Cricetulus griseus: one gene and its partners. The protein of the gene in region 3 interacts with the protein of the main gene of each other region in a pairwise test. Links are inferred from orthologs where the notes say so. Each region holds a gene or a part of one and is shown on either strand. Other genes may lie near its edges.

Region 1 (3,647 bases), on a different chromosome or scaffold from region 3:
CTTTAAGTGTCTTCCTTTTTTTTCTTTTTTTAACAATTTTATTTATTTATTATGTATACAACATTCTCCTTCCATGCATATCTGCATACCAGAAGAGGGCACCAGATCTCATAACAGATGGTTGTGAGCCACCATGTGGTTGCTGGGAATTGAACTCAGGACCTCTGGAAGAGCAGTCAGTGCTCTTAACCTCTGAGCCATCTCTCCAGCACCTACTTTTGTTTTTTTAAGGCAGGACCTTTTTACTTACTTTCTGTGTATCCCTGGCTGTCCTGGAACTCACTGTGTAGACCAGGATGGCCTTAATCTCAAGAGATCCACCTGCCTCTGCCTTCTGAGTGCTGGAATTAAAAGTATGTACCACCCTGCCTGGCCTTGGGGGATTTTTTGTGTGGTGTGTTTTTTGTTTGTTTGTTTTTGAGGCAATCTCATGTGGGTCGGGCTAGCCCTGAACCCACTGTGTATCTGAGGGTGATTTTTAACTTCTGATTCTCCTGCCTCTACCTCCTGAGGGTTGAGGTCACAGATGTGTACTGCCATGCCTGGCTGATGAGTTCTGCTTTATTGAAATGAAACACCCTCCTCCTCCCCACACTTGGGTTGGACCCAGCACTTGCTATATCTCATCTCTATCAAAAGTGACACAACTCACTTCAAGAGTGTGGTGGCATAGAGATGGGTTGTGACTGGGCCTGCTGCCTGTGTCCTTTGAGCTTTAGTACAGAGCCAGTGGCTGGTGCACTGGGGCTCCATCCTCACCTCTTGCTGGATGGGGTCTGAGCCCTAACCTGTCTGCACTCTCTCCCCATCCCTGTGGATGGGCCCAGGAATGGTACTTGTCGGGGTGATGTGGAATAACAGCCCTGAGTACCAGTGTCCTCCTGCAGTGGCCCTCACTGTTAGTTCTTGGGCCCAGTACCTGGGAACTTGGTGGAGTCATCCAGCTCTCGGATGCTGAACACTTAACTCAGGCATCTTCCTGGCCTCATTTAACAGGGGAGCCTGATCTCTGAGGGAAGCCCCTGACTCAGAATCCACACAGCATGGCCTGGAGCCAGCCAGTGACTCTTCCCTTCCTCCCACACAGGTGCTCACTCCCACATCCGGGGTCTGGGACTGGATGATGCCTTGGAACCAAGACAGGTAGAGTTATGGGGCAGGGGGCTGGGTATATGGGCTGCTCCTGTCATGTTGGGCAGGGCTATTCCTATCTTCAGACCTGTTTTGTTTTGTTTATTTCAAGACAAGATTTTTCTGTAGCTTTGGAGACTTTGAGCCTTTCCTGGAACTGGCTCTGTAGATCAGGCTGGCTTTGAACTCACAGAGATCCTCCTGCCTCTGCCTCCTAAGTGCAGGGATTAAAGGTATGCACCACCACTGCCTGGCTCAGACCTCTTGATTCTGTGATGAAGGATTTCAACCATACACAGTGTTTTATACCTGCAAGCCCAATCTCTTGAGTTCAAGGCCAGGCTGGTCTACAGAGTGAGACCCTGCCTCAAAAAGAAAAAAAAAATCAAGAAGAAAACCAGTATTTTTTATTTTTTTCCAAGCAGGCAAGGTGTGGGCCAGGGTGTGGTGGGAACACGTCAGTGGCTCTGGAGGCAATCAGTCACCTTCCATGTCCTCTCATCTCCTACCCTCCAGGCTTCCCAGGGCATGGTGGGGCAGCTTGCTGCCCGGCGTGCAGCCGGCGTGGTGCTGGAGATGATCCGAGAAGGGAAGATTGCAGGGCGGGCCGTCCTCATTGCTGGACAGCCAGGCACTGGGAAGACCGCCATTGCCATGGGTAAGAGGCCTCGTGGGGCAGACATTCTCCTTCTGTGGCGGTCAGGGACATGTCAGCTGTTTAACAGACAATCATAGAGACGTCAGAAGGAGGCTGTCTGGGACCACTGAGAAGTTATATGGGGTCCTCTGTCTTAACATTTTCTCCTTGTTTCCATGCTAGGGTCACCTTGTATTCCAAGAAGGCTGCTTCAGCTGTAGCCTTCCCCACTGTAGTCCAGTCATGCATCCTTCACAGCTGTCCTGTAAGGAAGCTGTGTGCTTCTGCATTTCTGGTTCTATCACATGGTTTGCAGAGCAGGCTGGGGCTTTGGAGGTTGCTAGTCTTGTCTAGCCTGGGGATCCACCTACCTCTACCTCCCAAGTGCTGGGACAAAGGTGTGTGCCACCAGGCCAGCATTATTGTACAATTTTTTAATTTGGATCATTACTCTCTTAATAAAGTGAGGGTCTGGGGATGAGGAAGCAAATGAACACTGGACAAACAGACAGACAGCCTTCTCTGTAGCAGTCCACTAGTGATTGAGGGTCACAGCTGCTGCTTTTGCTTGTGGAACTCTGTCCATCCTTCAGAACCCTCCTGGGGCGTCTCTGCCTCTGAGACTCCCCTGCCTCACCTGTCTTTGCACTCCCACCTCTGATAACCCTGTGGGACCTGGCACGGAGAGTCGAGCTCTACCAGCAATCAGTTCAGAAATGGCACTTACCTAGAGAGGTGGCCATGTCTCCGTGCCTTGCAAGGTGATGCGTGCTAATGTGGAGACTAAATGGCTGATAGGGTGGGTGGCCATCACTGAGTCAGGGATCTGGGGCCAGCAGCCACAACTGCCTGACCACTGCTCCCACAGGCATGGCTCAGGCACTGGGCCCCGACACACCCTTTACAGCCATCGCAGGCAGTGAGATCTTTTCTCTGGAGATGAGCAAGACTGAGGCTCTGACTCAAGCCTTCCGCCGTTCCATCGGTGTCCGTATCAAGTGAGTTTCCTGTGTGATATCCATTCTGCTTGCTCGAAGTCCTGGTCAGGGAGCCAGGGTCTCAGGGGCCAGTCTGACCCAGGCTCTGTTGTCTGTCCCACCAGGGAGGAGACAGAGATCATTGAAGGCGAGGTGGTGGAGATCCAGATCGACCGGCCAGCCACAGGCACGGTGAGTCTCTGTGGCTTCCCAGTCCCAACACCTCCAGCCAAAGGGCAAAGGATGATATAGATTTTCTTGTAAAATGAGAAGCTAGCTAAATGAGTGTGTCAGCTGATGAGTTGCTGTGGGCACCAAGAATCAGAACTTTCCCCCAGCGTCCTTCACTCTACGGCCACCCAGTTGACCTACCTCTGTGTGACACTTTGTGCTTCCAGTGTCACCCAGAGGTGTCTGACACTTGGCTTTCTTCTACCTGGTTGTAGGAGTTTCTGTTTTCTTTTTTCTGTGCTGGGTCAAACCTAAAGCCCCATGTTTGTTAGGCAGCTGCTCAGTTGTTTCATTTCATGTCTTTAAAGTTACTCGAAGGGCTATGAGGTGGCTAAGTGGGTATTTGTTGCCAAGCCTGGTGTGAGTTCAGTTCCCACCACCCACATGATGGAAGGAATCAAACTCACTAGTTATCCTCCAACCTACACTGTGCACGTGCACCCATGTATGTGAACATATGTGATTTGGGGGGGAGGGGTTGAGACAGGGTTTCTCTGTAGCTTTGGAGGCTGTCCTGGAACTAGTTCTTGTAGACCAGGCTGGTCTGGAACCCACAGAGACCCACCTGCCTCTGCCTCCTGTGTGCTGGGACTAAAGGTGTGTGCTACCACTGCCTGGCATGATTTTTTTTTTCTTTTAATTTACAGAGTAAATAATAGGTTCCCCTTCAT
Region 2 (4,307 bases), on a different chromosome or scaffold from region 3:
ACAGCCGGGCTGAACAGCAGGGGAGGCACAGGGAGGAGTAGGGTGGGAGCAGAGGGTAATCTCCCTCAGTACAAGGTGACAGCTGAAGCTTGATGGGAGAGCTGGTGAGACGAGGGGAGGAGGGTCCAGGCCCTGCATTCAGTCAGAGTCACTGCTGGAGGAGGAGGAGGAAGAGGAGGAATGCTGCAAGGGGAAAGAACATAGCATCAGATCCAAATGACCTTTCATCCCTCCAGGGGCCATTCTTCGATGCCCCGCCCTTCCACCCAGGTATCTAGTAGGCAGGAGTCTTAGCCCATCCTGCCCCATAACCAACAAAATCAACAGTTTCCTTCAGCAAGGAGCATAATGGAACAGATTAAACTGCCCTCCACCACTGCACAGAACTGAACATATTGTTGCCTTCAGATGGAGTTTCTTCTTTCCACAGCTAGGCAAGGCCAGGAACATGGAATAAATAAACATAGCACCGATCTATAAAACAGCTGTTACCTTATAAATACCTGTTGATTGGCTGCAAGTAAGGACCATCACAAACTAGAATCTATGCACCTAAGAGAGGGCAGCTGTGTGAGGTGATGCTGTACCTCTAAACCCCACCAGGGGGAAACAGGAAAGTGGGAGAGACAGATGGCTGGAGATATCCCATTCAAGGACCCATACAGACACACCTCTATCAACTACCACTAAAAACATGTTTAGATTCTCCAGGGTTTTCTCCTTCATTTGGTCTCTCGTTCTTTGCTCCTGACAGTTCCACCAAAGACCTAGAATAGGACTAGAGCCTGAATCCACAAAGCAAACATTGGGCATAAAATCTAAGTGAAGCTCAGAGACCCAGGTAGGTCCTCTCCTTCCCAAGTCCTCAAGGAAACTTCTCCCACCCTCCCTAATAATAATTAGCATTCCTGCAGAAGGAAGATAAATACCCCAGGGTTTGTTGGAGGCTGAGTCACAGAAGAAATGCCTAGGTAATTAACAACACCCTGAGAATACGGAAGGAGATAAAGGAAACCCTGGAACCAAGTCCATGTTTACCATTCTGTTAATTATCATATGTGGTTTTACTTTGTCAAAAGACTCACTCAATTGACAATTAGACAACCTCAGGGGGTATGCCCAACTTGCCAAAAGATACACCTGGAGGGTCTTGGGTTGGGGATGTTTCTGGGAAAGAATTAGGCAGAGAAGGGAGAGGACTCTTGGTTCTGATAGCCACCAATGCTTAGCTTTTCCTTTTCAGAAACAGGAGAGATCTGATGCCTCGATAGTATTATTACACTCCTATCAGGAGAATTCTTTTACATAAAGGAAAAGTCACCTGCCATCTCCCACACCCACAAACCGTGAGCCCCTTCCCCAACCCCGCTCACTCCAGTCCCTCTGATGGACACCCCTTCCCTCCCCAGCCATGCTCTCAGAAACTGACCTTTCCATGCTTGTGTTGTTTGTGAATCTTTTTATGAGCCTTCTTCATTTTCTTCCGTGTCTTCTTGTCTATCACCATCCCTGGGCCTACCATTCCAGGAGCCAAAGGATTCACAGGGCACATGCCAGGAGCAGGTGGTGGGTACGGGGGAGGGTGGGGCCCTGAGGGTTGGTATCCTGGACACCCTGGTTGTGGTACAGGGTAAGGGGGGCGACATGGAGGGAAAGCTGGGTTTCCCTGGGGTATTCCTGGAGGACAGGGGCCAGGAGGAAAGGCAGGGTTGATAGGTGGTGGACAGGCAGGATTGGGAACTCCTGGGCACAAGGCTTGGGGTGGATATGGGTTAGGCCCTGGAAAAAGAACCAGGGAATAAAAATTAGAACTTTCCAGAACCTCTGTCAACAAATAACAAAATCCACTGCATTCCTTAACACTGTTGGAAAGGGGAAAGCTTGGTAGCAGTGGTCCAAGGCTTCACTTTTGCTTGCGGGTGGGGGCTGTAGATACAGAAACTGCCTGTTCCATTGCAAAATGGGCTGGGTGGGGCAGAGGCGAGCCCCCAGGTACTTACCAGCATTAGGGTTCCACATGTCCAGATGTTAGTTCCAGCCTAAGAAGGAAAAGAGGCAAAAATCTGAAAGTCCTAGGAGGGGAAGAGAATTTTCTAGAGTCTGAGCCCCACCCTCCAGCCTCCGCCTTACAAAGGCTCTAACTAATAGGCGTGTGGTAGCCCACGTCTTTAGTTCCAGTGCTAAACAGAGGCAGGCGGATCTCTGTGTTCAAGGCCAGTCTGGTCTACAGAGAGAGTTCTGGGACAGCCAGGCTTACCCAGAGAAACCCTGTCTCAAAAACAAAAAACAAAAATAAATAAGAACTTCCTCTTTTTAGCGCCCTCTAGGCCTACTCTAGCCCAGGGTCAAAACCACAGAAATTCTATGGGCCCCTCCCATTTTCACTACCTCAAGCCACACCTGGAGAAAACTAACTCTCCCCATCACTCATTTCCCTTTTCCCGGAAAGGAACGGGAGGTCTTTAAGCACAGGCAGTGCGAGAGAGAACCTCAAACCACCTAAACTCTGCGGCCCGCCCCCGATGAGGAGTTTAGAAAAGGACCCCGCCCTAGAGCAGCAAGAGGAAGGAACCTCCATGTCCTCAAACGCTTAGACAAGGAAACACACACACACACACCAAAAAAAGAGCAAATCCTCAAATGCTTAGACAAGGAAACACACACACACACACACACACACACACACACACACACACACACACACACACACACACACACGGGGGGGGGTGCGGGGGCAAACGGAATTCCTAGTTCCCATATATAAACAGACCCCTGATCCCTATTCAGAGAAAAGAAGGGAATTAGGGAGGCCAGAGGCCCAGTCACCTGTCACCTCCCGAAAACAGCTGGGCCTGCTACTGCCGTCCGCCTTTCCAGTCTGAGTTCGCACTTCCTGGTCACCCTATTCATTCTATGCCTCCGCACCGCCCCTGTGACCTAGTTGATAATTATGTGGTCACTCGGCATGATGATTGGAGAGCTGACTTGTCAATCGCTGTGGTCCAACTAAACTAGGAGGAAACGGTTGCTCAAGCCTCGAGGCGGAGCCTTTTGGGAAGCATTGCATGATGAAATACCGACACACAGGTGAAATACAGAAACGCAGCAGAAACGCTCCTTATGGCGAAGCCCGGGCAGAGCCAGCTGCAAGCAAAGACCCTGAGACACCGAGATAAACGCTCACTGGGTTACTGGTTTAATTAGGTTTTTAAATTTATTTTTTCATGAGTATGACTGTTCTGCCTGAATGTATGTATGTGCTTGATGACAGCGGAAGTCATCAAATCCCCTGGAATTGTAGTTGCTAATGGTTGTGAGCAACTATGTGGGTGCTGAGCACTGAACCCAGGTACTATGCAAGAGAAGCAAGTGTTAACTATTGAGCCATGTCTCCAGTCCCTGATATTGGTTTAAAGTTACAGTGATTATCTTGGGAGTTGTTTGGGGGGGGGCGGGGAGCGTGCAAGCCTAGCCTAGTGGCACTTGTCTGTAACCTAGCGCTTGGAAAGTGGAGGAGGAAAATCATAATTCAAGACCAGCGGTAGCTTCTGGTCGAGATTGAAGCCAACCAATTCTACTTAAAACAACAGAGGTAAGTAGAGCAGTTGGGGCGCACACCTTTATTCTCAGCACTACGGAAGCAGAGGCAGGCTAATCTCTGTTAGTTCAAGAGCTTGGTCTATATAGATCAAGTGATAGGACAGTGGAGGCTACACAAACTCTGTCGGAAGCGCGGGGTGGGGGTGGGGGGCCCGAAGGTGCTGCTGAGTCCCAGCCCCAAGCCTCGGTATCGCCAGCCTGTGAAAAGCAAAGACACATTCTTGAGGGGATTCCCTAATCTCTCACAAAACTCCATTTTATTGCTCTGTCATCTGTGGGGTTGCTTGAAACAAAAACTTAGGTCATCCCAGCCACCTCATTATGCTCTAGGTCACCCACCATGCCTCTTCTACCTTTCCCTTTCACCCTAACCCCAGTGCAACACAAGTTATATTTTTACCTCCCAAATACATCTGGAATTCCTCTACCTCTATCTTCCTTGTCCCCAGCCTGCCATAATGTCCTGGATTGCTACAATTGCCCCTTTCCTTCTATATATATATATAATTTTTATTTTCATTGTCTGTGCATTGATGTTTTGCCTGCATGTGTGTCTGTGTGAGGATGTCAGATCCCCTGGAACCAGAGTTATAGACTGTTGTGAACTGCCATATGGGTTCTAGGGATTGCACCCGGGTCCTCTGGAAAAACAGCTGGTTCTCTTAACCACTGACCGTCTCTCCAGCCTCACAAATGTCCCTTTCTTA
Region 3 (3,647 bases):
TGGGACTTGCCTATCTATGTCATCAGTGTTGAGCCTGGAGGAGTCATAAGCAGAGATGGAAGAATAAAAACAGGTACAAAATGAAGAGGATTAAGGTGCTGGGGTGGCGGAGCATGTGAGATGGACTTGGCCGTGATGGTTGTGCCTCTTTGACTAGGATGAGCATGTCTGCAGCTGTAGTCCAGGCTCACCCCTCTTAGTGCATGTGAGTGGGTGTGAGGCAGCTTTGCTGGGAAAGCTAGAGTCCCTAGATTTTCCAGGATGGACAATCAATGAACCTATGAGCCAAGTTACTTCTAAGGCATAATCCAGTTCCACACATTCTAACTGGTTCTTTGCCAGTAATGAAACTGATTTATGAATTGTGTCATTTTGTGGACTCAATTAGTTGATAGATGCCGATTCAGTGGTATAATTAAATATCATCGGAGGGACTTGCTCATTGGCAAGTAGACCTCTGCTATCCACTCCTGTTCTGGGCTTCTCTACATGAAGGGAGGTATGCAGTTTACCTCTGCAAGGATGTGTTAATAACACTGTTAATAACACTGTACAAGCATATGAAGAGGTTGCCTAGGTAGAGGAATTGTGCTTTTAAAGAGCTCAGATTTAAGACAAAATAAAATTTCTCAAGTACAGTCACTCTGCCTGCTGATCTAGAAGTTGGGGGTGGCATGGTACAGCATTCTTTTCTAGTCAGCAAGCTTTGTGGCCACCCTTTGTCATTTTCCTCCTGTCTACAATTATTCTGTATGAAAAAGATGATGTATAAGAGGCACACACCTCCTCAAAAGAACCAAGAGATAAATGAATTAGAAAGCAAGGAGAGGAAGGTACCTTTTAATATCTCTTGCTATTCGGCAAGCACCTGAGTGAAGAATGATGAGGGGCGAAGAGAAGTGACATACAGGAGTATTTTTGCATAAAGTGGGCACTTAGCTACTGCTGGCTCTGTGCAGCACAGAGAGTCGGTGACTACAAATGGTACCTGATTTCCATCTCCATGAAAGCTCAGGTCCAGGCCTATTCTTGATCTGCTCTGGTCTCCCGAGCCAGACACTAACTCCTGTTTTGGTCTCCGTATGTTGGTAGCCTCCCATACACCAGGCTCTGTGTAGGCATGGGAGGACTTAGTCAATCATTCTCACTGTGTGCTAAAGAAAACAGGAAATTAAAAGAGCGAAATTGTAGGTTGTCTTTGGCTAAGTAACAAACAAAACTAGCTTATATAAGGGAACAGGTGAACATTGGTAAGTAATGTGTAGAGACTCCCAACAAGACATTCCCACATGCTCTACTTATGTGCTAATTGAGACCCAGTCTTGTGTCACTATGAGTTCAAGAGACATACTGATCCTCACTCTGTCCACATGCCCATTCAGCCTCTGTCCTGTCACACATGGAGCAGAATCCCATTTGCACTCACTGAGGATGCTTCTGCTTCTCTGGCCTCAGGTGACATTTTATTGAATGTGAACGGGATTGAGCTCACAGAGGTCAGCCGAACAGAGGCCGTTGCCATATTGAAGAGCACATCCTCCTCAGTGGTACTCAAAGCCTTGGAAGTCAAGGAACAGGAGCTCCAGGAAGACTGCAGCCCAGCAGCCCTGGACTCCAACCACAATGTGACCCCGCCTGGTGACTGGTCCCCATCCTGGGTCATGTGGCTGGAATTACCACAGTGAGTCCTGATTTAACACCCCTACAGATTATGTTTCTTAAACCACTCTTTCACCGTCTTGGGCTGATTCATGGGCACGAGCATCTTACTAATATGACCCAGTCTTGTTTGTGGGGCTGTTTGAACAAATTCTATCTTCTGTAGGCAAATGAAAGTCCGAATAGATATCTTAGGGAGTGTGTGAAAATCTATGGAGCACCTTCTAGATGCTTTCCTCGTTTGCAGAGTTATAAGGTGGCTTGTAAAGCAGGGAGTGTAGCTGACTGATAAAAACTCAGCCTGTGTCTACACTCACAAGCTGAGCTCTGCTCAAGTCATTTTCATCCTTGCATGGAGATGACTGGGAGCTGTACTAGCTGCAACCTCACTCAGGTTTCTAGAGGCTCTGACTACACATATAGAAGTAGAGCAGAACAAGGTTAAGTGTCTGGTAGTTGAGGATTCTTCGCAGAACATCTCTCTTCTGTGACTCTCCTGGAAAGTTCTTTAGGAAGCAGCTGGGTTGTCATTTTACTGAGGTACAACTGGAGCCTTACAATGAACTATAAAATGACCTGACCCGCTGACTTGAGATGAGGATTTGGACAGAACCCCACAAAGTGGCTATGTACATGAATTGTGATCATTCAAAGGATAGAAAAATTTGATGTTTGCTTCCCTGGACCAGAGCAAACTTTACTGGCCTTTAGATGTAAAGGTGTAGCTTAGATGTTAAGAATGGTGTCACTGAAGATGGATGTACTGGAGTAGGATGAAAGAGTGGAAGCAGGTGGGGTATTTGGTTTTGAAACTTTTTCTTGAAGGTAGAGATAGCTCTTACTTAGTAGCTTCACATACAATTTGATCCCGTTGTATTTGAGTCTCCACTAGTTGATTCATTACTTTTAAAATCAGTAAGTCTTTAAAAGTCCTTAGAAAGTGGAACACTGAGCATTGAGGCAATTTAAACACTTTACAACTGAGCCTAAGTAGGAGACTATTATGTTGAGTAAATTAATACACACATACTATGTGAATTGGTGTTTTGCCATGGGTGTCATGTCTGCTGGAACTGGGATTAAAGACAGTGATGAGATGTCATGTAGGTGCTGGGAATTGAACCTGGGTCCTCTGAAAGATCAGTCAGTGCTATTAACCGTTAAGTCTTATCTCCAGCCCTAAATTTTTCTTTAAAAGAGATTTTGGAACTATAATCCCAAGCCCATTTGTACCTTTTGTTTGAAAGCTACTTTGCCATTCTCCTCACTGTTCACATGTGCAAGGAGAACATCAAGCCCATGGCGCCTTACTTTTCCCATGAGCCACCTGGCATTGGCAGCAATTCTCTGCTCCTGCTGGAATGTCTGAACTGCACTCATTCCCTCCAAGAGTAAAAGGAAATGTGATATGATGGCAACACAAGAAGATAGGGACTTCCAGAACCTCAGAGCCTCTTCCTATCCTTCCTTTCCTCCTCCTCCCTGCAATATTTAATGGCATGGTGAGGAGGTCAGAGGGTACCAGAGCAGAGGGAGCAGGAAGTCAGTATCCATCCTTTCCAGAACCTTCAAGTCACTCAGCAGAGGTCACCAGCATTACCAACGTCTTGAGTATTTTTTTCAGGGAAAGACTATGTCAGAGGTTGATCTTTTCTGCAAAAGGCTGGCGAGCTTGTGCTTAGAGAGTATGGGGCCTTGGCAACCACTCACTGCTGTTGTAGCATAAAGGCAGCCATAGACCATCTGTGAATGAAAGCTTGTGGGCTTGGCTGCCCATGGCTTAGATAGCAATGTACTCACTCAAACACAATGGAGGCCTGTGAGCTCATATGGTACAAAGCTTTTTAAAACTTACAAAGAAACCTAAGAATTGATTTTGGGAATCACGATAGTCAGGGCACCACCAATGTCCACTGCCTCCAGGGATGGGTCAAACTGTACATCTGTGAAGCCAGGTGGCAGGTTAGGTGGCTGTCACACCATTGGGT

The links. The genes of interacting proteins can lie anywhere in the genome.
Region 1: the proteins of Lnx1 (region 3) and Ruvbl2 interact in binary tests that used the Homo sapiens proteins (3 or more experiments, as listed by UniProt). The two-hybrid records come from large-scale screens. The link is inferred for Cricetulus griseus from reciprocal best matches to the Homo sapiens genes LNX1 and RUVBL2.
Region 2: the proteins of Lnx1 (region 3) and Prr13 interact in binary tests that used the Homo sapiens proteins (3 or more experiments, as listed by UniProt). The two-hybrid records come from large-scale screens. The link is inferred for Cricetulus griseus from reciprocal best matches to the Homo sapiens genes LNX1 and PRR13.

The regions. Positions count from the first base shown.
Region 1 is NC_048599.1:154,334,681-154,338,327, reverse strand, and holds part of Ruvbl2 (ruvB-like 2), read left to right. Parts: intron 1-1,087; coding exon 1,088-1,143; intron 1,144-1,647; coding exon 1,648-1,789; intron 1,790-2,636; coding exon 2,637-2,766; intron 2,767-2,870; coding exon 2,871-2,937; intron 2,938-3,647. UniProt on the Homo sapiens protein: Possesses single-stranded DNA-stimulated ATPase and ATP-dependent DNA helicase (5' to 3') activity; hexamerization is thought to be critical for ATP hydrolysis and adjacent subunits in the ring-like structure contribute to the ATPase activity.
Region 2 is NC_048595.1:398,840,040-398,844,346, reverse strand, and holds the start of Prr13 (proline-rich protein 13), read right to left. Parts: upstream 2,944-4,307; 5' UTR 2,827-2,943; intron 2,040-2,826; 5' UTR 2,020-2,039; coding exon 2,001-2,019; intron 1,780-2,000; coding exon 1,430-1,779; intron 184-1,429; coding exon 139-183; 3' UTR 1-138. UniProt on the Homo sapiens protein: Negatively regulates TSP1 expression at the level of transcription. This down-regulation was shown to reduce taxane-induced apoptosis.
Region 3 is NW_023276807.1:141,117,642-141,121,288, reverse strand, and holds part of Lnx1 (E3 ubiquitin-protein ligase LNX), read left to right. Parts: coding exon 1-73; intron 74-1,455; coding exon 1,456-1,681; intron 1,682-3,647.